4 linked regions of the Drosophila melanogaster genome follow. The protein of the gene in region 2 interacts with the protein of the main gene of each other region in a pairwise test. Each region holds a gene or a part of one and is shown on either strand. Other genes may lie near its edges.

Evidence for each region.
Region 1: the proteins of CG10674 (region 2) and mtd interact in a two-hybrid assay, tested with the Drosophila melanogaster proteins (one large-scale study listed by BioGRID).
Region 3: the proteins of CG10674 (region 2) and CG1544 interact in a two-hybrid assay, tested with the Drosophila melanogaster proteins (one large-scale study listed by BioGRID).
Region 4: the proteins of CG10674 (region 2) and CG34267 interact in a two-hybrid assay, tested with the Drosophila melanogaster proteins (one large-scale study listed by BioGRID).

Annotation. Positions count from the first base shown.
Region 1 is NT_033777.3:5,320,187-5,326,076, reverse strand, and holds the start of mtd (mustard), read left to right. Parts: upstream 1-2,229; 5' UTR 2,230-2,638; intron 2,639-2,951; 5' UTR 2,952-3,089; intron 3,090-5,890.
Region 2 is NT_037436.4:5,134,767-5,139,138, forward strand, and holds CG10674 (uncharacterized protein), read right to left. Parts: upstream 1,527-4,372; 5' UTR 1,468-1,526; coding exon 1,312-1,467; intron 1,253-1,311; exon of another isoform or gene 1,245-1,252; coding exon 1,074-1,244; 3' UTR 982-1,073; downstream 1-981. Other genes in the region: Yod1 deubiquitinase, read left to right, coding at 1-668; CG4611 (uncharacterized protein), read left to right, coding at 1,706-3,526, 3,583-3,873; Tcs5 (Threonyl-carbamoyl synthesis 5), read right to left, coding at 3,914-4,372.
Region 3 is NT_033777.3:31,194,965-31,203,922, reverse strand, and holds CG1544 (uncharacterized protein), read right to left. Parts: upstream 7,008-8,958; 5' UTR 6,912-7,007; coding exon 6,788-6,911; intron 4,753-6,787; coding exon 4,635-4,752; intron 4,467-4,634; coding exon 4,289-4,466; intron 4,203-4,288; coding exon 3,983-4,202; intron 3,520-3,982; coding exon 3,358-3,519; intron 3,015-3,357; coding exon 2,941-3,014; intron 2,865-2,940; coding exon 2,103-2,864; intron 2,043-2,102; coding exon 1,625-2,042; intron 1,569-1,624; coding exon 1,245-1,568; intron 876-1,244; coding exon 687-875; intron 552-686; coding exon 466-551; intron 382-465; coding exon 277-381; 3' UTR 201-276; downstream 1-200. Other genes in the region: mesh, read left to right, coding at 8,469-8,865.
Region 4 is NT_037436.4:498,705-502,594, reverse strand, and holds CG34267 (uncharacterized protein), read left to right. Parts: upstream 1-2,143; 5' UTR 2,144-2,221; coding exon 2,222-2,233; intron 2,234-2,296; coding exon 2,297-2,518; 3' UTR 2,519-2,581; downstream 2,582-3,890. Other genes in the region: CG34268 (uncharacterized protein), read right to left, coding at 1,256-1,495, 1,559-1,570.

The sequences.
Region 1 (5,890 bases), on a different chromosome or scaffold from region 2:
GCTGCAACAAAAAGCCGTCGTTTTAACACTGCGGCCAGATACTTAGCCATTCGGATTTGGCAGTACCTTCCGCCATTTTCCGGGGATACAGCCACCAACTGGGGAGTGGAAAATTCAGCGAAAATTAAGAAGTACACGTTTTTTTTTCTCTACTCTGACTTTGCATATTCAACAGCTCAGAGACAGCGGACTGAGCACTTTGCCTGTTGGATGAAAACTATTTTTAAGCTTCAATCGGTTCGCAAAGCTGAGCGGCGAAATTGCCATTCGTTATTTAAATGAAGCTGCTTAAAAGGGAGTATTTTCACTACTGTTCAACAGCCAAAAGAGAGTTTCTTTTTATGGAAATCACCCGGAGAAAACTCAACCCCCCTGAATGCTAATCAAGGGTATAAATAAGATAGTTGTTTGCAGGACGAGAAGAAATATAAAAGGTGAGTTTTCACAAACACAACATTTTTTCAAAATAAAGTTGGAGTGGCGTTAGTTGGCTTATTCTAGTTCAATAGCACCAATGGCTAATTACAGGTTTGTCTTTACTTTTGCCAATAGCAAAACCAAAACACTACACTGTCAATTCTTTATGGCCATAGAGCCAATTAACATTCGGAGCTGAGTTCGTGTTGAAAGCAATGAGTTGGCTGTTTAAAGTCAAGATTCTTTAAACAGGTTGATAAACCTCCGATTGGTAACATTGGTTACCTCATACTTTACTTCGAAATATCTTAAACTTCACCCACTAGAATTATTCAAAAACTTAGAAATTGCTTCTACACTTTGCGAAGGTGGTGTTGTATGATTCCTACCTCACCTGCGACTGGTTTGATTAGAGACCCTGATAAGCTATGCTTATAGCCATAGCGTTAGCCATAGGTATAGCCATGTGCATAACCATAGTCATAGATTTAGTCATAGCGCTGGCAATACATGCGATTGCGTTTTTTAGTGGCCCCCAAGGCGCATTCAAAACATTTACATTTTAGTTCAGACAATTTATGATTGTGTAATAATATTGAAGGCTGAAAATTGTAATCGTCCGAGTCCGAAAAACTGTAAATAGTCAGAGGGGGGGGGGGGGTGAAGATGGAGGGTGCGAACGGGACGGAGAACGAGCGGCAGCTAAATGATGTTGCACTTTTTCTGATTTCGACGAGTTGCGTACTTTGAAATTTGCATAATTCGCAATTCGAGCCCAGTCATGCGTCTTAAATGAGGCAAAGAAAGAGGAAAAAGTCAGAGGTTGCAAGCTAAATGGAAGAAATGCCCAAGGTCGGATTGTAAATTCTATTTTTTCTGTTTCTCCGCGTTGAAATGCAGTTCACCTTAGGGCAAATTCTCTGGGCAATTGCTGCGGCCTTGGCGGTAATTTCCTTGTCAGGTGAAAAACACAGGTGGCAGGGGGTTGGCCAGATAATTGTACCACTTTCACCCCCTCAACAGTGACCTACATTAAAGTTGAGGAAATGCATTTGCCGCCGAGGAGCTGGGAGCGAAATCAAATAATTACAGCGGCGTCACATGGCGTATGAGTAATTTAAATGAAATTACAAAGTCGCCGCAGCTGACTAACCTCCAAAAAATAATAGCAATTGCAATTCAAAACAAGTTCATTGCACATGCGCCCCAGCATTAGAAGCAACAAATCGAATGGGAAACGTACCGAAACTTTGATACCCTTTTCGGATTAGATGATGATATAGATGGTATCTAGCACTGCTACAAATACTAAATAATCGAACTGAACCCATTTGAACGATTTTAATTAGTTACATTTTATTACTTGTAACTTATCTACTCTGTCTATCTACTGTTCAACTGTGATAAAGTTAGAGTATCTTTCAAGATCCTCTGCCATGGTGTCAACACTCCTGGAAAGTGTATTAAAATCAATCGGCAGTCGTACGTTTCGCTGGCAACATGTGTCCAAACATCGCCAAGTGGAAGTGGAAATAAACGGAAATAAGCCAAACTCAAGCAGGTTTAGGTTTTTGGCCTGCAACAAAAACAAAAACGAGTTTGTTGCAGCACATGTGGATGTGTATGTGTATGTGGATGTGGCTGCCCCGCGAGACACGACATATGGACATATTGCTTGTAACATTTATACAAATGTACTCTGTTCGCTTCATAAAGTTAGAGTATCGTGCATGTTGCCCCGCAACATGTGCTCTCGCTGGCAACATGTGTCTAAACATCGGTAAGCAGACAACTTTTTTGTGGATCGATTCGATCAGTTTAAGTTTTCCATTTGCACCGAACGCAACGCAAGTAGCTCCCACAAAATCGGAATCAGCCGAAACGAAAACGGAACACAAATAACAGAACGCGCGCGCTCAAAGTCAGTGCTTGATACTAAGATATAGCACAGATATACTACATACATATGTATGTGGAGCATCGGCGATAAATATTGTAAAATTATTTTTAAAAATATGTTCGACTCGTGTGCGACTGTTTGTGCGACGCCGACCAACGCAGTCCGCAAATTATTTTTCTGCACTCATTTCATTTGGCGATTGTCCGTTGCAATTCGGCCATTGGTGTCCGTTTTCCTGGCGAAAGAAATATATTAAGTTGTTTAATTTAACATCCGTGCTCGGGAATTCGCTATAACAGCATATACACGAGAGTTTTTTAAGTGAGAGCGAGATTTTTCTGCAAAAAATATTAATGCAACTGTAAATAACATTGCCCCCCACTTTTGTTTTAAATGGCTTAAATTTAACGCCCTGTCAAAATTGAGTTTAACATTAAGGTCATTTGAGTTCAAAAAGTCCCTTGCAAGCAAGCAATTAATCGAAAGCATACATGTTTCAAGGCATTTAATTTAAAGTAAATTACGCGGGGCATTCTCACAATTGACCAAATTTTCGCTGAGTCTCGGACTCCCAAAAATTCCGAGTGCATAAAAGTAATTATAATTATACTAATTCAACCACAAATGTCCACAGAATATACAAGTATAATTGAAAATATAAGTGTACGCGAGTGCCAATACTGTGAAATCAATACGAATGAGAAATGTGACTAACCAATCAAAGGAAAGCAATTGTGCCAAACCTCGTTGAAAGACAACAAATTAAAAAAAGGTATAGAAATATTTGCAACCATTTGTGATGCAAATGGTAATGGATGCAAAATAATCGTAATTAATGGCTGCGCTTGCAATTTAATTTTTGGCCCAGCTTGGCTTTAATTTCGTCTCTCTGCTTCTCTCCTTCGCCATTCTGTTTTGCGATTGCTTTAGGCGCGGCTTGCGGTTTTTTCGGATTCTTGGTGAAGCGAACGGTTTTATTTTAGTCGCTTGGCTTAGTAAACCGTTCTAATCGGCATTATTCGCAGATTCTTTTGGCTTTTTCTTTGTTCGTCGCTTATTTGGCTTGCCTTTCCAGCTGCGAAATAGAAGCAACTTAGTTTATTATATTCCTCAGCTGCAGGTCATGACATTCGTGAAATATCTTTTTGTTAGTGCCTATTATTGCTTACGACGACTGGAAGCAGCAAAGAAAAAATATAAAAAACAGCTGACCACGTCAAAAGAAACCAATGAAAAAAAAACTTGGCCAACAATGACGAATACGGCGAACACAAAAGCAAAGACCTACGCCTAATTTAAGGTCATCAGCACAGTAAAACAACAACACTGGCAATAAGCCGAGGAAGAAGCAGCATTTACTGCTTATGGCTACGAAAAAAAAAACTAAAGTCGCCGGCGTCTCTGATTTTTTCTTCGGATTTTCTGATTTTGTCTATGGCCCTTCCATGCCATTTGCGTGGAGAATTATCGGGCAACGGCACAAAAAGCCATGATTGCACGTACACCAATGCACTCGCGTTCGTGTTCGTACATCCCAAATAAAACAGTAACAGTTGCTGCTCCCCCTCCCAAAAGCTCAGCTCATTTGCCTTCTCGGTTTGAACAGCAAAATGGAAAGAAAGCCCCTAGAAAACAGTGATGATAGTACTGTAGTTAAACCAGGTTTCCAGTATTTAACCATTGTATCCATTTTATATATCTTAAATTTCGTATACTTACCATACATACATACTTACAAGAAGATAAAAGCTTAAATAAGTAATTATTATTAATAATTATTGATACCTAAAGAAGTTTCCAAACTCCCAACCTATCTATGTAGATCCAAACCAGTTTCGAAAATCCGGCAGACTGAAAGGCGACTGTTGCGGATGCTTTGGTTTTCCGACGAGAAAAGTGGAAAAGTGGAAGGCAGCCCCACTCGAGATAATCGATGGCTTTGGTCTTCTCTCTCGTGCGCTTGTTTATGTTTTTTATAAATAGCTCAAAAAATGCGTAAAATGAGCAGGCAAAAACAAGGTATAATTAGAATAAATGTTAAGCCCAACCACTGACACATGTACACTAAAACTGGGCGTGCAAGAATATATCTGGTGAGGTTTTGGGCCAGAACGTGTAATGCATTTCTATCTATAAGTTGTGATACGCTCCATCAACACTTGATAGCATAATTAATGCGGATTAACATTTCAGCTTCTATTTCGACGCAAGTCGGCACAAAGCGTTCGTATAATATTTATTGACAAAGCCATTTATCACGATGTCCGCTGGGTGTGCATAATTTTGGGGCCACGTGATGTCGCCCGACTTATAGATAGTGGTACACAGCGAGTACAAAATTATATACCTACATATGTATTTAGAAGTCAGTACTATCTAAAATAAAGGTGGGGTGGCCCACCTAAAAGTGCGACTGACTGACTATGCAAATCAATTGAAAGTGTCAGGAAGCGATGGGGAGAAATGGAAGTGGGAAAATTAAAACGAGCAGCAAGGGGGGTAAATTGGAAATAATAATTTTAAAAACCAACACGGAAATGCAAATTCCCATTTTGTATCTACGCATAGCCGCATCTGGTTTTAACTTTTATTGATTTTAAGTGACACGTCCACGCGATTTGAACGAGGAAGTCTCTGAGTCACTTAGCTGTTGTGTCATTATTGCACAATGATTATGGCTGCCAAAAGGAGGCTTGTCGCAGGACAGAATATTTAAATCTGCCTGTTCAATAATTAAGTATACAAGCATGAGTACTTTTATGAGCTGCTTTTCGCCGTGTTGTCTCCGCATGTGATTTATTTATGGTCTTTTGTTTGCCCCTGCCCACTGTGCCTGACTTCGTCGAATTCTACTTGGCCCGGACAAAGAGCCTTACTGCTGTTTGTTTGCTCAAGTTGGCGTGAAAACAGTGTCATAATTACACAAATAAATATAAGTCTCTAGATATGTATTTATAGGTATGTACATATGTATACATACCTGTCGGTGCGCCGAAATTCAAACAAAGGCACTCGAGATGTCCGTCCAATCGCATTCAGATATTCGAGACCACGAGAGCACTCTCGATTATCATCTAATACTTTGTGACTGGCCGTCGACAATCGATGATTTAATAAATTCCCTGTTTAGGTATCATAAAATGTTTATTACACATTTACGATTCGGTGGCCCAAATTGTGCCAAATTTGCAAGAGCAGCTGCCAAGAAACTTTTCCGGCAATATGCTCAATAAATTTTTAATGTATATATTTTAGGCTTGAACAGATAAGACCAATTAAATAAAATACGCCTTAGGATTTGCGTGGGCATTAAATAAAATGTGTCAAAGTTTTTAGTTTCGAGAGGGAGGATTTCAGCACTTTGTAGGCAATATGTTAGATTATAAAATGTGTTTCAGTTAACTGATTTAAAGATTTACGAGACGTAGCATTTCTTTTTTGACGGCTTAGATCCGCAATGAATACATAAATTAGAAGGTGCCAAATCTCACTTCCACTTCCTGTGCCACGCCCACATATATATCTACGTAGAATCTAGACTCCAGTGTCCGCCGATCATTAATCATTAATCAC
Region 2 (4,372 bases):
CCCAGGCAGCAGACTACCAGCTGCCAGTGGCGCCGACGGAAAGCGGACCGAATGGCGACTTTAATGGCATACTGCTGAAGAAGGTGGTGCCGGCGGACAATTCGTGCCTCTTCACCAGCATACGATTCGTGCTCAACGGGAAGGTGGACAACGAGGGCAGCGAAATGATGCGTCACATCATTGCGCAGGAGGTGGCCGCCGATCCGCAGAGCTACAACGACGCCGTGCTGGGCAAATCGAATGCCGAGTACTGCGCCTGGATACAGAAGGCGGATTCGTGGGGCGGCGCCATCGAAGTGTCCATACTGTCCAACTACTATGGCATTGAGATCGATGTGGTGGACATACAAAACGCCATTATCAATCGCTTTGGCGAGGACAAGAACTTTGGACTGCGTGTCTTCCTGCTCTTCGATGGCATCCACTACGATCCGCTGTACATGGAGACATCGCCGAGTGCTGCGCCGGCCACCATCTTCCCGGTGGAAGAGCTGGGCGTCTATCAGCAGGCCGAGCAGTTGGCCAACGAGGCGCAGTCCTCCCGCCAATACACCAATGTGGATAAATTCACGCTGCGCTGCATGCAGTGCGATGTCAGGCTGGTCGGCCAGGTGCAGGCCCAGGAGCATGCCAAGCAAACCGGACACAAGAACTTTGGAGAGATTTAATACGTCCTGATCTTCGGCACCGTCTACATTGTGGCATTCATGCTGTTCGCCTACTACCTGCTCACCACCTAGCCACAATCGCCGTGCGAGGAGTCATCTCATTAGCAGTACTACCTCCACATCACCGCCTACCTAAGTTATTAATTATTGAATTGAGCCCAGCCGCCTGTATTCATGTTAGTCCCCTTTTAATCCCTTTCGGAATGCAATAAAATATACCTTCATCTACACTAGGCAAGTCTTGGAGTTGGTACCTATATAGCTATAAGGTCAAGTTCCAGAAAGCTGTCCTGAATTCACAAGGCAACCAACTACGTACGTACTTTTTTACTGAGCGTCGAACAAAACCGAGGCTCTCAACTGTTCAATTACATTAAATTTAAAATAGTTATCTTAGGTCCAGTGCTAGGAAGCCCATGGTGGGGTCATGGCAGCGGGATTCTGGAGGTAGGACATCACCACCGCACTGACGCTCAACATAAAGGAGGAGAGCACCTGTTTGGCATCGTCGCTGGCCCGAGAACTGGCGAAACTAATGCAGGAGCAGTACAGCGCAAACCAGGCGCACCACTTGAGCTGTGTAGGTGGGTTACATACTGATAAATGCCAAGTCACTTGGTTGTAATCTTTGGGGTGTTATTACCTTCATCATCAGTCCACACATGGAGAAAATCATGCCCAGAATGTTCATGTAATCCGGCATCATGTCCTCGTTGGCGCCGCCGCTCTGGCCCTGGTTCTTGGGCGCCTTGTAGCGGTTGATCTTCTCCTTGCGGCGCGGATCCACGGTCATGTTCATTTTTAATTTATTTAATTTTCACCAATTTAATCGAAAAACCAGGTCAGATTGCAATGGATGTTTGCGTGGAATGTGAATGCCGTGCAGGTTGCTTACGTTCTTATTTGACTGGCATTTCGGACACAAGGTGGCAACGCCCCTTCATCAGCTGTTTCTTTATTTACACCGCCGCCACACGCACGTTTAAAATAGTTTTTTTTTAATTACATAAAAATCACAGAAAATTGCAACAGATAACATGGCTCTGCGGTTGATTAGCCGTTCAATGAGCTGCCACATACGTGGCTTGCAATTAAATGCCACCGGAAGACGGTTAAATAGTTACAACATCAGCCGGCTGGTTATTCTGCCTGCAACTTGGTCTTGCTCACAAAATCGCCTGCTGCACGTGAGGATTACGGATCAACAAGCCGGTTTGGAGACCAAACGAGAGGCCAACAGGAACCAGAATCCTTTTCGCGAAGAAGTTTTTGAAGAACTTATCACAGCAGCACCCAAGGAGCACCAGAAGTTTAAGCCAGAAAAGAAACCCAAAGAGAAGTCCACCAAAAAGGTGCAGGATTTTGGTGATCCGGACACCTTTGGCGATGCCAAGGTGGCTGCAACAGAAGACCCGGGTGATGTCGAGGAAGAGGAGTTCCTTAGCAATTCCACTAGGCGCTCAAAGAAACTAAAAGCCGTGGAATACGCCCGCCAAATTAAGGACCATCTTAAGGCGAATCGCCTAAATGAGGCCATCGCCGTGCTGGAGCAACGGATGCTAAAGGAGGATCGCGCCAAGCCGGACAAGTACATATACAATCTGCTGATCAGTGGCTGTGCCAAGGCGGGCTACACCCGCAAGGCCTTCTTCCTGTACACCAAGATGCGGCAACGTGGTCTTCAAGTCACCGGAGGAACCTACACTTCGCTATTCAACGCCTGCGCCAATGCTCCCTCCGTGAGCGATGGCCTGGCCAAGGCCCAAATCCTGCGGGAGAACATGCTCGAGAAGGGCTACGAACCAAATGTGAAAAACTACAATGCCATGATCAAGGCGTATGGAAGGTGTGGCGATGTGGACACCGCCTACATGCTGGCCGACGAAATGATGGAGCGCCAGCTGGAACTGAATGCAGATACATTCAACTTTCTGCTGCAGGCGTGTGCCAGCAACTCGGAGCACGGTTTCCGGCATGCTCTGCTGACTTGGCACAACATGTTGCAGCGAGGTATTAGCCCGGACTACTACAGCTTCAATGCAATGCTGAGATGTGCAAGGGATTGTGGCTTCGGTGACTTGGATTCCATGCGAGAGGTTATCGATAAAATTGCGCCCTCAGCTGCTAGAAAGAAACCAGTTCTCCAGTTGGAGAAAGGTCAGCAAGATGATTTACCCAGTGTGGAAGCCAACACAACTACGTTGCCTGCCCAAATTGAGGTGGCCACCACAGCGAGCGAGCTGGAACTGCCCAATCTTTTGCTGCCTCAGCCGCATCTGGGCAGTCTGGTGGCCCTGGAGGAGGTGACACGTCCACACGAACGTTTCTTGCTACTCGGCGGTCTCACTGGCTTTCTGGAGCACATGAAGCAGCACAACATTACACCGGACATCGAGACATTTACCGCAATGCTGGAGGTGATACCGCCCACAAATGCTGCCGAGAAGCAGCTGCTCACGTTTGTGCGCAAGATTGGCCTCAAGGCGGACATCGACTTCTTCAACATACTGATTAAAAAGCGTTCCATGCGCTTTGATTACGAGAGTGCCAAGGAAGTGCTCCTCATGATTCGCACGGCGGGTTTGCGGCCGGACATTGTCACCTACGGTGTGCTCGCTTTGGGTTGTCGCACGCAGGAAGAGGCTAGGGAACTGCTGGAACAGATGCATGTGGCGGGCATTAAGATGAACATGCCCATACTGGGGGCCATGCTGCGGCAGGGATGTGCTAACAAATCCTTTAGCTACGTCAACGAGATCATTCAGTTGAGTCTGGAGGAGGGCCTTAAGCCAAATGAAGCCTTCCTGCGGCACCTGCACAACTTTCACAGAGGTTGTGCGCGAGCCATTGATGCCAGAGTGAGTTTATAGCTAACTTTCTGCTAGTTAAATCATTAATTGTTGTGTATATGCAGCATCCATCAACCAAGACGGCAGCCTTTAAGAAGGGCCACTCTAAGTTCTGTGATAAATACCGCCTGTACTACGAGGAGCAGGGACTGTCCGGTCTCAAGCTGGAGGACGCCATTGCCAAGGTGAAGGAGCGCCCGTATGACCAGTTCAAGCTGCCGCCTGTCAACGGAATGGAACCACTCAAGCACGAGCAGCTCAAGCACAAAACGAAACAGCGAAAGTACATCAAGAAGATCAAGATACACGAGCTGAAGGATGACCCTCCCAAAGAGTCTTTGAAGAGGATAGAATAAGCTAAAAAGTTTAACTCCCAATAAAGTTTATTATTATTCGTTAACCAATCATGGTTCTTTTGCGTCCGCGTGCTCGCACCTCCTCGAACTTGGTGAGCACTGCCTGTTCGTCCTTACCGCACGCTGTGCGATAGGCGGCCAGGACGTGCTCGAAGATATACGGCTGTTCGCTGTGCGTACTGAGTAGCGCCCGCTCCAGGACGTACAGATCCACACCCTTGTCCTCGGTGGCCTGATTGTAGTGGCTCAAGCCGAAGTCAATCAGAATGACATCGTAGTCGCCACCCTTCGGATTGATGAGGATGTTAGATGTGGTGAGATCGCCATGTATAATGTGATTGGAGTGCATTTTCCCAATGATTTCACCGATCCGCGTGCAGAACTCCAGCAGACATTTCTTGGCTTCATCCTCCGTCTGAGTGGACACTGTTTCCTGGATGAACTGCTTGGCAGTCTTGGCTGCATCGAAATATTCCATATACAGCTTGTGGGTGTTGAG
Region 3 (8,958 bases), on a different chromosome or scaffold from region 2:
CATGCAATACTTAAATCTTGACTGTTATCAGTGCTCGTAAATTTAAAAATATTTCTTTCACTTCGTACACCGAGTAATAACAAAATAAATAAAAAGAGATATTTTAAATCCACTAAAAACTCATCCAAACATTTTGTAAGTGATGAAATTTGAGGGTATTCCCACGATCAACCGTTTCAAAAGTCTTGTTTTCTGCTTTTACACAAACATTTTTGGCAGTTTAATTGAGCTAAAGTACTTTGTGATATATGCACCGGCTGAGGAGGCGGGTTCGCCCTAAAGTTCGAATGGGGCAGCAACAATCTCATCGACTTCCCGTTTATGCACTTTTCCGATTCCGGTGGCGGGGGTGGGTGCCTCGCAGCGACCGCAGTAGTGGAGCTGTGGAAAGCGGGGAAAATCGGTTGGTAGTGAAAAGTGTCTAGAGCTTTTTCTGAGGCCGCCGGTGGCAGGCCGACTTTTTACCTGTTGGCCAATTAAATTTTCAAAACGTGGCCGCACAAACGTCCAGGCGCCCATGTTGCGATGCTCCTCCTGGCTCCAAACAAAAGCTGCACGCAGAGAAAATATATATAGTGGTACAATATATATATCAAGAAAGATATTAGTTATATTTTTTCGTGTATAAAAACGATAGCAAATACAGATCCGGTCAACTTTGTGGCCTAAGTTTACGATGGACTCACATTGCACGTTGCCGTACTGGGCCAGCTGGGCCTGCAGCTCCTGGATGGGGAAAGGACACAGGGACTCCAGGCGCAGAATGGCCGTGTCGTAGGCCTGCCGCTTCTCCCGCTCCTCGGCGAGAGTGTAGTAGTGCTTTCCACTGCACAGGATGACCTTGCGCACCTGCTCAGGCTTCGCTATGGTGTCTCCTATCGTTGGGGGTGGGTAATAACAGGGGAAAGTAAAGAAGAAAATGTGGATTAATATCGTAGTATAATAACCCTGAATTTACGTAAACATCTTTTTACAATTCATAGGAGCAGGACAGCATATAAAAAGATATATGTGGCATTAAAAGTCAATTATGTGCTTTGCAAATCTGAAAAGTTTATATTGCTAGTTTGCCTTTATGTATGTGGCCAATAACTATTTTGGCCAACGAGGTGTATTTTTAATAGATTTAACTATAGTAGTTTTCTACATATTTGCCTAGGGACAGAGACATAGTACCCTAGTCATGCCATGACCCCACTCGCTATCCCTCGAGTCCGTGAAGATAAACAGAAGCCATTACTCACCCAGGACATTGTGGAAGAGCGTGCCCGGCTGGAAGTCCTCGTGCGTGGATGTGGCCGCAGGAAGACGGAGCAACGTTTTGGGGGCCACCACCACGAGGGGCTTGCGGAAGTTCCTTGCCAGTTGGCGACGCAGCACATGATAGTATTGGGCGGGCGTGGTGGGGTTCACGATGTGCACGTTGACGGAATCGCCATCGGCGGATGTTTCCTTGGAGTCGCAGAGCTGCAGGAAGCGCTCGATGCGACAGGAACTGTGCTCCGATGCAGCGCCGTCGTATCCGTGGGGCAGTAGCATCACAAGGGCGTTGGACTCCATCCACTTGGCTAGTTAAGAAATTCTTTAAAATCAGTACGGAGAAAAGATGCTATTTCCATCTCACTTTCTCCCGAGACGATGAAGGTGTCGATTATAATTTGTGCTCCATTGGCAAAGTCACCAAACTGCGCTTCCCAGATAATCAGGTTGTTGGGATTGTCAATGGCCATGCCGTACTCGAATCCCAGCACCGCCTCCTCCGACAGAATACTGTGAGCCAGCTCCAGTTTTCCACCGTTTCCGCCCTCCATGCTGTTCAAGGGAATGAACATCTCGTTGGTCTGCTGATCCACCAGCATGGCGTGGCGATGGGAGAAGGTTCCCCGACCCACGTCCTCACCACTGATCCTCACATTGTGTCCCTGGTACATCAGGCTCCCAATAGCCAGGGCTTCGGCTGTGGACCAATCGATCTTGACTCCGTTTTCCAGTTTCTTCAGCCGAGCATTGACATGCGTTTTCAGCAGGTGGGGATGGATGTTCTGTTACCCAGGAAAAAACCTTTAGAATATATATATATACACATATCTGAGCTAACTTACAAAGTCTTCGGGGAAAGTCACACTCTGCTGACCAATGTAATGAAGTAGTGAGTAATCCAAGCCAGTGTCCCAATAGGTTAGCTCCTTGGAGGGAGCCAACTGAAAGTTCGTCCACTGCTTCTCGAAGTAGGAAGGTGGTGGCTGGTATGCAGGAGCCAAGGCTAGCTCCTCGCCTAGATATTTCATGTACTCATCCCTCATCTCCTTGGCCTTCGATTCTGATAGAACCTGCTCCTTGGCCAACTGCTGGGCATACAAGTCCGGAACCGATTCCCGCTGGTGAACAATCTTGTAGACCAAGGGATTGGTGAAGGTGGGGTCATCCAGCTCGTTGTGACCCCACCTTCTGAAGCAGTTCAGATCAATAAAGATGTCTTTGCGGAATTCCCTCTGGTACCTAAAGGCCAAGCTTGTGACCCTGGCCAAAGCCTCGGGATCATCGCCGTTGACATGGAACACAGGAGCCTGAATAGACTTGGCCAAGTCTGAGGTGTAGGCAGTGGATCGTCCTCGATCTCCGGGCGTGGTGAATCCCACCTGGTTGTTGACAATCAGGTGCAGACTTCCGCCCACCTCGAAGTGAGGCACATAGGCCATGTTGAGGCACTCCTGGTTGATTCCCTGGCCGGCGAACGCAGCATCACCATGAAGGATTACGTTGAGCACGTGCTCTCCAAAGGGCTGACTGCCATCCCCGAAGGCACCCTCTCCTCTGGCTTGCTGTTTCGATCGCGTTTTTCCCATGGCCACAGGATTGGCCGCCTAGAAGTGGGATAAAGGAGGAACACGATGCTTAAATTAGAAATCAAATTTCAAAGTTTGACGTGTGTCGGCTTACCTCCAGATGGGAGGGATTCCGCACCATGCTGAAGCTCAGCTTCTTGCCCAGTATTTTCAGCTGCTCGGAAACATCTGTGTGCGATTCGGTTCAGGTTTTATTAAATTAAGCATACGCCGTGTGTGCTTAGGCCAGCAAGGCTAAGACTGCTTGGCGCACACGAAAAGGATGGGATGAAGGGATTTTAGTTCAAATGAAGACTATGAAATACCCAGGATATTAAAATCCATACCTAGTACTAAATACTTTGGGATAAATAATTGACTATAAATAAGTTATATGTTACATTTTTTCTCCTGTTTCTATTTTACGGTCAATTCAACTTCAGATCCTTCTTGTCCGTGTAATAAACGAATATACCAGAATACCCTACTATACCTGTAAGCCCACCGAACGCCCCGGCAAAGTTTCACTTACGGAAATGACTTATGACGTCGGACATGGCCTCGATGTCTTCGGAAAACTCGGATGCGCCGCTGAGTTTGCGGAAAACTTTCGCCGGCCGCATGTTGAGGAGCGCCGCCTGCAGCGGAGTCCTTCCTCGATGGGGCATCGCCAGGACCACGTGCTCGATGTTCGCTGTCATTCCATTGTATAATTTTTTTTTATCGTTGTCGTCGTTTCCGTTGTTTTTCGGGGTAGCATGCGAGAGGGAAAAGTTTTGAGAAAGCAGATTAGGGTTAAGTAAGCGTGCGATGATATGTGAGCATGCCTGTGGGAAGGAAGTTTGGAATGCTGGCTAGAGTTCAGGTGGGCTAGCTCAAATTCCGAGGAGCAGATTCACCATCTCTGCGGACTGTCACGAGACAAAGTTCGGCGTCTTGAAATGGGTGCGCGATTCCGCGTTTTGCTAATCGCGTTTAAGGAGCGGTCCACACGCACGAGACCGTATAAATCATGTCATAAATATGGGATGAAACTTTGAAATTTGGAATAAAATGGACTTAATCGTAGAAGTTTATGAATGTTGCTTTGCCAAATCGATGTTCAACGGAGTGATGCATCCAAATAACTTCATGATGGCATTGCGTGGGAAACTCACCTTGGACACTGTCACGGAGCAGTTGCCAGAAGAAGGCTAGCATGGACTCGGCTCCTTCGCCTCCGTATCGCTTGACTGTGGGAAACTTGAGTGCCATGAAATTGTCCCAGGCCTGCGACTTAATTAACAGCTCGGCGATTTCGCAGCGCTCGCTTTTTCCCAGCTGCTGCTGGTCCAGCGTCTCAAAGTTCCGGGCCAGCCACTCACGCTCCTCGATGTCCTGCGAAAATGAGGCAGCGGGATCAGCACGCAATGTTTATGGGATGCGGTGGAATGGGATGAGATGCGATAGGACGGGACACCTACCTCGACGTAGGAGAACTCGGCGCTGGTTGAGCGGCCGCAGTAAATGTCCTTGAGCAGCTGCTCCAGCTGGGCGACGTTGTGGGCCACCTGCGGACCACTTAAAAGGCCATCGGTGCGCACCGGCTCCTGTGTCTGCAGTCCATAAAATGCGGGACTTAATTCCTGCAGCTCCTGCTGGCTGTGTCCAGTAGCCACGAAAATTCACAAGACAAATACACGCAGCCGGGGCGATATTACAAAGCAGCCAGAAAGGGAGAATAAAATATGACATTTGCCAGGACGATTTCGGGAGGGGTATGGGAAAATGGGAGCTGGGAGCTGGGTACTGGGTGCTGGAGCCTCCTACCTCGTCCTGATGCTGATGGGATTTACGGCTGCCAATTTGTGCCCATGCTGGCGAAAGGCCTCCACAAAGCGATAGACGTTGGCCTGCGAGTTCCTTGAGGCCCGCACATCCTCGGCCACTGAAACACACGCGTAAACAATATAAATTTCGCCCCACGTTATAAATTATTTAAAAAAGGATTCACGTGCACATCGCCCCGTTGCCACGTTGTTCGGCCTTTTGAATTTATTGGCCTTTTACTTTTATGATATTTATTCTTTGCTTTTTACGCTTTGCTTCACTTTGATGGACTAGCTGCCAGGTATGTGCACTTTTGAATCGTATTTACCCGGCAAATATTTGGCATTCGATATGAATTCGAGTGGAAAATGTCGAAAGGAGTTGGCTAAAGATTTAAATGGGGCTTATTGAGATTGCGTGCAGAACATATATTCTTATCATATACATATATCGTTAGTTATTCCAGTTAGCAGATTTACATCGAATTTAAAACTATAGAGTGTACCACGACGTTTGTGCTTCCCGATGGCAAGCAATTCGTGCTACATATGAGAAATTACGATTGTTGTTTTTATTGCCTTTGTTGGGATATTTTATTCCCTGGTTGAGCCATTGACAACTCGTTGGCTGCTTAGGTGTTTACGTGTTAAAGTGTTATCCTGCTTACAGGATTTATATGCGATGACGCATATCACTCGATTACAGTACCCTGAAAATTCGAAATCCGTGGGACAGCTGGCATTTGCCAGTTAGACCGACCCCAAGTCGTCCTCAGAAATTTATGCAATTTCTCGACGGCATTTCGGCCATAAATCAATTTAATGTTAAAGAGTAGGTCGCTTGGACAGGAGCACAGGGTGTATGATGAATTGTATTTGCGGTGACAACATTTCAGCTTGAGCGTGTAAATATTATTGGAGCACAGCGGCGCGTCCTTTGCCAAGGATAATGATTGCCCTGACAGAAATGCAGCCAAAGGACGAACGGCAAACAAGGCGAATTATACCGATACTACACTGAGGCAAAACTAACGCTTAAAGTCAGTTTTAGTACGCTTTACCATAATTCAAAATACTGGTCAATTGGGTTTGCTTTAGAATATCTAACATACTTTTCCAAAGCCTGAGTAAATCCTAGACTTGATTTTCTCTATGTGCATCATCCTAGGCGCCTGATGTCACATGGTCAAGCGTTGAAGGCTTTCCTCTGGTGCCCAGTCAAAGGCTCCTGGCAGACTATCCAACTACCAACTACCAACTGGTGACTGGTGTCTGTTGGCCATGGTGTCGATAAGCCCCAATTGTGTACGCAACGGATGCAGGACAAGCACAAAGAAGCTCCCGTTTTGGGGTCCTTTGTTTGCCGGGCTTTGATATTTAGCCGGGTCCTTTTTGGACTCCCTGCCGTGCGTTTTGGGAAAAGATATAGTATCTCTGCACTGGACATCCGCCTCTCTTCACTTAATTAGTGCACTGCACGGGGGGTCTGCCACAATCTCCTCATTCTAATTATAAATTCGGGGTACTGGGTGTAGCGCCATATATTTCGGGTTTATCAGATTTCAGAGTGAAAACATGTGATAAGCTGAGAACGTGGAGATTAGCTTGGGTAGGTAACAGGAAAGACGGTAACATTAAAACCATAAAAAATATTCCACCAGTCAACAGGAGCTGTTCTTTCTCGATAGTATGAGAGGCATAAACAATGAACTTCAATTTAAAAAATATTTTGCGAAATTAAGTTAAACCTGAAGTTAGTGAAAATAATCCTAGGTATCCATACGTATTCCCGTATATACCCTCCGATTACAGGGTATACAAATGATATATCTTCTTTAAACTGGTTTTCGAATTCACCCACAGCAATTTGCACTTGATCTCTTGTTCAGGCTGTTGTTTTATTGCAGTTTCTGCGGGGATTGTTGTGGGTCAGCTGCTTGAATTCCGCTGATAAATAGCCGGCTGGAAAATCCGACACGAACGCACACACACGCACACAATGTCACTTCGTCGGTTTTTCTTTTTGCTTGGGTAGATTTCCACTGCCCATTCATATGAATGTTTGATCCCGAAAGACTCTTATCGATGCGATGGTTATCTCGACGGATGAGGTTTTTATTGAAGTCTTGGCAACACACTTGTTTACAACCGTACCTTGAAATTCACGCTGGGCAATCGGCTTATAGCCCCAAACGCCCTTTTCGCTGTGATAGCACCGCGATTGTGGGCGTGGCAGTTTTGCGATTCCCGCCTCCGAAAGCGCCAGATAACGCAGCATGCTGATGGATTAAAAACGAGGCGTGTATGCCGGATCACCTGATAAGTTCGCAGCGAAATCGCGGTCTCTTCTCGCCGCCGTTCGACCCAGAACTAAGGGCAATTCACTTTTGTTTGAAGCCGGGACCCCCATATTCCAAATAAACTAAATTGCTGATAAGCTGGGAAATAAACCGGGAGAGAACAAATCCCTCCGAAAAGTAGTGCCTACTTTTGGGCTGGTGGTGTGATATGATCGCTGTTAATTAACAGAGCGCTTGTTAAACACATGTATGAGATGATAATGAATTTCAAAATAGTTTCTTATCAGTTAACTAAAGCTGATAATGCAACAGGTTCGTTGGCCAATAATGGATTGCCTTTGAGAGAGGGAAGAGTTGTATCCATTAAATTAGTCATACATATGCTCAGGAATATATTGAAATGAACTGTACCATAGTTAAAAACATTTTTATATTTATATATATATTTTATACATAATTATGCTGTCGTTTGTTTAAAAGATATATGGGGTACATTTTCAACACCAATTTTCCCCTAACAATAACCACTATAAAAATATATCTTATCCTTCGATTTTTATTATAGCAATGTTTATCTGCATTATTGTTTTATAATACCCTTTTAGTCACACAAGTTGATCCTCAAAACGCTTTGATTTTATTAATTTGGAGTTCCCCACTCTGCACTTGATTTCTTCATTAATGAGGACCATGACACTTTCATGTCCTAATGAAATCCATCAGTAGGCTTTTTTACGGGCGGCTGATATTCATAACTCTAAAGCTTCATCGGAAATGCCTATTAATGGTCGGTAATGGGTCATTGTCTATAATTAAACCGGAAGCGTGCTCTCATCAATTTCGCATCACACACATACATGTTTAGGCTTTACAGCCCATTCAGCTTTTCACAAAATGGCCGCGTCATGAGTATGATTAACTGTAATGGAAGTGAATCACAAATCTGCCAGAGACCATTGTCAACAGAGAGAAATATAGGTAACGGTCCCACGAATGGGCATAAACAAATAGGTTGGTAAATTTGGAGCACAGAGAAGAGAGTGAAGCTTCCCGAAAAAGCCAAGCGGGCCGAAGAAGGAATGCGTTATCGGTGCGTAGTATTCCATTGATAAGATATGCCTAGCTTTATCTGGCCGATAAGGCAATGTTTCACAATCGAGTAGACGGCGACAGGTGAACTGAGTTTTGGCAACGCCCCGATCGGGCCGTTAGAGTTAACTTAACTTCAGTCTTAGCTGAGCGGCTCGCTGCAACGAACGTGTTTTCCTGCCTGGTAATTAAAGTTAAAATTGAAAATTGGTGACAAGTGATAAGAGAACTGATAAGCCATTGCCTTAACTGATGATGTCATCAAGTGAAAATTGTTAGAAAATGAGGATATCAGAGGAAAAATAGTGTACAAATTCGCATGAATTGAGTGCTTATTGAGTGATACTTTTATTGTGGATGCCTAATTGATGCCTTTGTGTTTTTCTTTTAGCAGTGAAACGAAAAAACGAATTACCAATTAAGTGACAAATCGAAATCAAGTGAACATGCGTTTCAAACTGTTTGTGGTTTGTGCGCTGGCCTGCGGGTTTATGGCCTTTGTCCTGGCTAACGAGAATATATCGACGGAGGAGTTCGAGGATCAAATAATCAATGCAGTTCCGGAGCCGGTCAAGGTGACTAAGCCCAAAGCTCAGGCGGAATTCGTTGAGGTTCCAAAGGCCACGCCCGCTCCCAAAAAAGCGGAAGCGGACAACCCGAAAACCAAACCACTGGCCCTGCAGAAGCCCACTCTGATTCCCGTGGTGCATGTCAGCAGTCGGGGAACAGATGATATCCTCACCGTCGCGGGACTGAAGCCCGAGAAAATGTTCGGAGCCCTCATCATGCCAAATGACTATTTGGGGGAGCTGTACGACGTGGACAACAGCGGCTACAATTGGGGTGAGTAGGTTTCGTTGTCCCTGGGCTGATTCAGTTCCACCCCATTACTCATACGCCGCGTTGACTATCTTATCAGAACAGCTCAGTGGGTTT
Region 4 (3,890 bases), 4.6 Mb from region 2:
AAAATATTATTACAAACTGTTGGATAATTTATCAAATGAGCTGCGGATAGGATAGGATTGGGTAGCTGGGCGACGATGAAGTCATTACCACAGACAAAAAAGAAACCACACAAAAGGAGAGACAGGCCCAACAAAAAGACGACGTCACATGTGAAGCGGATCAAATGATTTCGTCATAATCGAGCAGCAAATTACTATTTTTTCCCCCTAATAGAGTAATAAAATTGCCCAACTCTGGCCGAGAAATTTACTTTAAACTGAAAAGGAAGTGGAACCTGAATGGTAGCAGCAGGCTGAAAAACAAAGCTGAAACTGAAAATCGAAACCGAAATGAAATGTGGGGAAAATTAAGAAGAAAACGCTAACAATAAATCTTTTGGCAATAGAAAAAACAAAACCTGCCACAAAAAAGGCCCAAAAAGCCTGTTCACAAAATTGACTTTCGAACACAATTTATTTTTATATTTTTGTCTGCTTATTTCGATGTTATTTTTTTTTTTTGTTTTACCAAATCGCTTGAGAGTTTTTCTAGCCAGCGATTTAATAACCCGAATAAAGCCCCAAATAAAAAACAATGAAAAATTAATGTACGATCCATTCAGGTTCATCATCGACACGAGATCGAACCGCAACCGGGGAAAAAGCCAAAGGGAAAGGCGGCTGGCTCAGAGTGTTTGAAGCGGGCTGTAAGGCTTTGCTTTGTCGCCACTTTAATTGGCTCAAATTAAAGACGAGCTGGGATTGGGTTTTAATGGCAACGTCTGTCGGGTAAGGGGTGGTGGGAGGGGGGGAGGTGGAGAAGATGCAGCTGCAGTTTAGAGGCGTCACTTTATTCCGCTGATTAATGAAGAAATTTCCCCTGGAAGCTTGCCGCCTTGTTAACGACTTTATGTGTGACTATTCGCAAATAACAAAATGAGCGAGGTGAAATTAAATTTTACAAAATGTCCCATAAAATAATCAGTCAGCCATGGAAACCACTGGGGTCTGCGGACAACTTTAGTTGCTATAAAATGTGTAAAATGGAAAGTGCTGACCACGAAAGGGTGTTGGGTACGTAATTTTTACGAGAATTATTTCCTTGATGTAGGAAAAAACATGCATCATTTAATTGTAAGTATAAAAATTAAGCCAGTCCCGATGGCATGACCCAAAAGTTTATCCTCGCTCTATACCAGAAAATAAAGATAAGTTCGATTTGGTTGGCAATTTATTTATGTCGGGTCAATTTCTAATGGGGTTGTGCTACAATAATTTAACCATGGTAGATGTGGTGTCCATAGGTGGGAACAGCGTAGGACTTCAGCACAGGGACATGCTGAACCACTGGGACATTTTTCACCACCGGAACATGCTGCACCACTGGAACATGCTTCACCACCGGAACAGATTTCACCACGGGCACCACCTGGGCCACAGGAACCACTCCGTAGGAGGGCTCAATGTAACCAGGAGCAGCAAAAGCCATTGCTACCAGGGCGAAGATTACAGCGATCTAAGGAGATATTTTGTAATATGAAAAATCCTAAGGATTTACTTTATAATTTCGTGAACTTACAATGCGGAACATTTTGGTATTTTGTTGTGAGTTAAAAACTTTAACTTGTGGTTATCGAACGTTTGTGTTAGCCGGACGACTGTTGTTGATTGACCATCCGTGGAATCATTATATATAGTAGTTAGCACCTCAGCCGAAAATAGCCCACAAATGACTTCTGTTCGAACGCCACGCGCCAAACCAGTTTAATTATCTTAAATTTGGTATCTTCGAATAATGCGCATTCTATTTGGTATGAAACCATCTCCAGCGGCGAACTTCCCGTTATCGGTCGTTATTGCTTAACCTTTGGACATAATCCCCATTCAATGACTTCTCAATTGTTTGCTGTTTTTAGATCCGTGTGCTTATTATTGTTTACTTCCAAGACCATTGTCATTATATCGATCGTCTTCACGCGTTTGTGATGATCACCAAGAACCAAGGTCATGTCCACAAAAAAAGACCTATATGAGGCACCTTTGGGTCAACTGATAAATCCATTCTCTCAATTAAACAGAAGAATTATGGCCAAACACGTTTGCCCATTTAGAAGTTGTTATTGAAGTGATTTTTGGCTATATAAAGTAACTGATCCATTGGTCAGCATCACCAGTCGTCCTACAAGCATCCAAGTGACAATATCTCCAAGTCAAGTTTGTAAATTACTAAGAAAATACCAAAATGTTCCGCATTGTAAGTTCACGAAATTATAAAGTAAATCCTTGTGATTTTTCATATTACAAAATATCTCCTTAGATCGCTGTGATCTTCGCCCTGGTAGCAATGGCTTTTGCTGCTCCTGGTTACATTGAGCCCTCCTACGGTGTGGTTCCTGTAGCCCAAGTGGTGCCCGTGGTGAAATCTGTTCCAGTGGTGCAGCACGTTCCGGTGGTGAAGAATGTCCCAGTGGTTCAGCATGTCCCTGTGCTGAAGTCCTACGCTGTTCCCACCTATGGACACCACATCTACCACGGTTAAATTTTGGAAAGAGCTCAATCGATATCGCACGGGAATAAATAAAATGTTTATGCTTGTAAAAGGAATCATATTTGACTTACTTGTCTCAAATCAAATGCACTTCAAATGAGTTTACAACTTCTGTGATTTATTCGCAGTATTTGCAGTGTGTGCGGATTATTTTCTCATGTCCCGCCGAGTTTTTGTATCCAACAACCCATTAAGAGCTGCAACAGAATTTTCTTCGGTCTGGTCCGATCGGAAATTTTTACGCAAGCCGTAAATGCGCCAAAATCTGGAACACAAATACGTTTTTCTCTGTTTTCGCGTTAGGGGCTTTGTAGTTTATTTGGTGCGGATCGAGTGATAAAAGCCAAATGTGCGCCTCGTTCCAGGCACCCAAAAGATACGGAGATTGAGCAGTTGCGTGGAACACATTTGGCAGGCTGTTCGCTGGTGAATTGACTCTTTGCACCGACTGAAGGTGATTAATGGACGCCAAGAGGAGCGGAGCGGAGTGGAGTTCAGTTGCGAAGAGTTGAGAGTAGCCGTACGATACTTCTTAAACGGTAGTTAAAATCTAACTAACACGCGAGAGAAAGAGTTTGCGTTTGCAGAGTTGGCTGATGAAAACGCTTGCGGCTGGCATTGAAGACTTCTATAAAATGGAAAGGGGGAGGCTTTTCTTGCTGACCCACTTTTGGCAGACAGAAAAATGTATTTGCCTTTGCTGACTGGCTTGGCTGGGCACTCCAAGAATTGTTAACAGCAATTTAGTGGTTATTCGCTTCTTCTTCGGCTGCTAAGTGTATTTTATTGTTCGCCAATTGCTGTTGTTGTCTTGTTAACGCTTTTTATAGCCGCCTTTTGCTTTTCGGCCAACTCTATTTGTCGAGTCTTTCTCTCCATGCAGATGTATCCCACAGATACATTCATTAACTTGTTTGCAGTTACAGTTTCCCTGTTTCCCCTCGCCGGTGATTTATGCTATCGCCAGCGTTTGTTCGTATATTTAGACATTTCCTATGTGTTGTCACCTCAATTTTTTCCTGCACTTGCTCAACTTTTTTATTTTAATTTTATTTTTAGGCTAATTAAAATAATCAGGTAATTGTGCAGTTATGAGTTATGTCTCAAGTCGGCGGAGAAGAGGAAGATTGTGTGAACATGGCAGACCTCAAATCTCGTTATGACTATGAATATGCATTGGCGCTTGATGAGATCCCCTTCCCCATTTTGTGAAGAAGTTAAAGGCGTGCCCAGGCAATTAGTTTGGAGTTGGGCCCTTCCATAGAAACCTTCAGGGCTATTTTGGCACGTTGTCAGGAGGTGGAATGCTGGAATCAGGCGTTGACTTCGGGCGAAACTTGTTCTCCACACCCAGTAACCATTG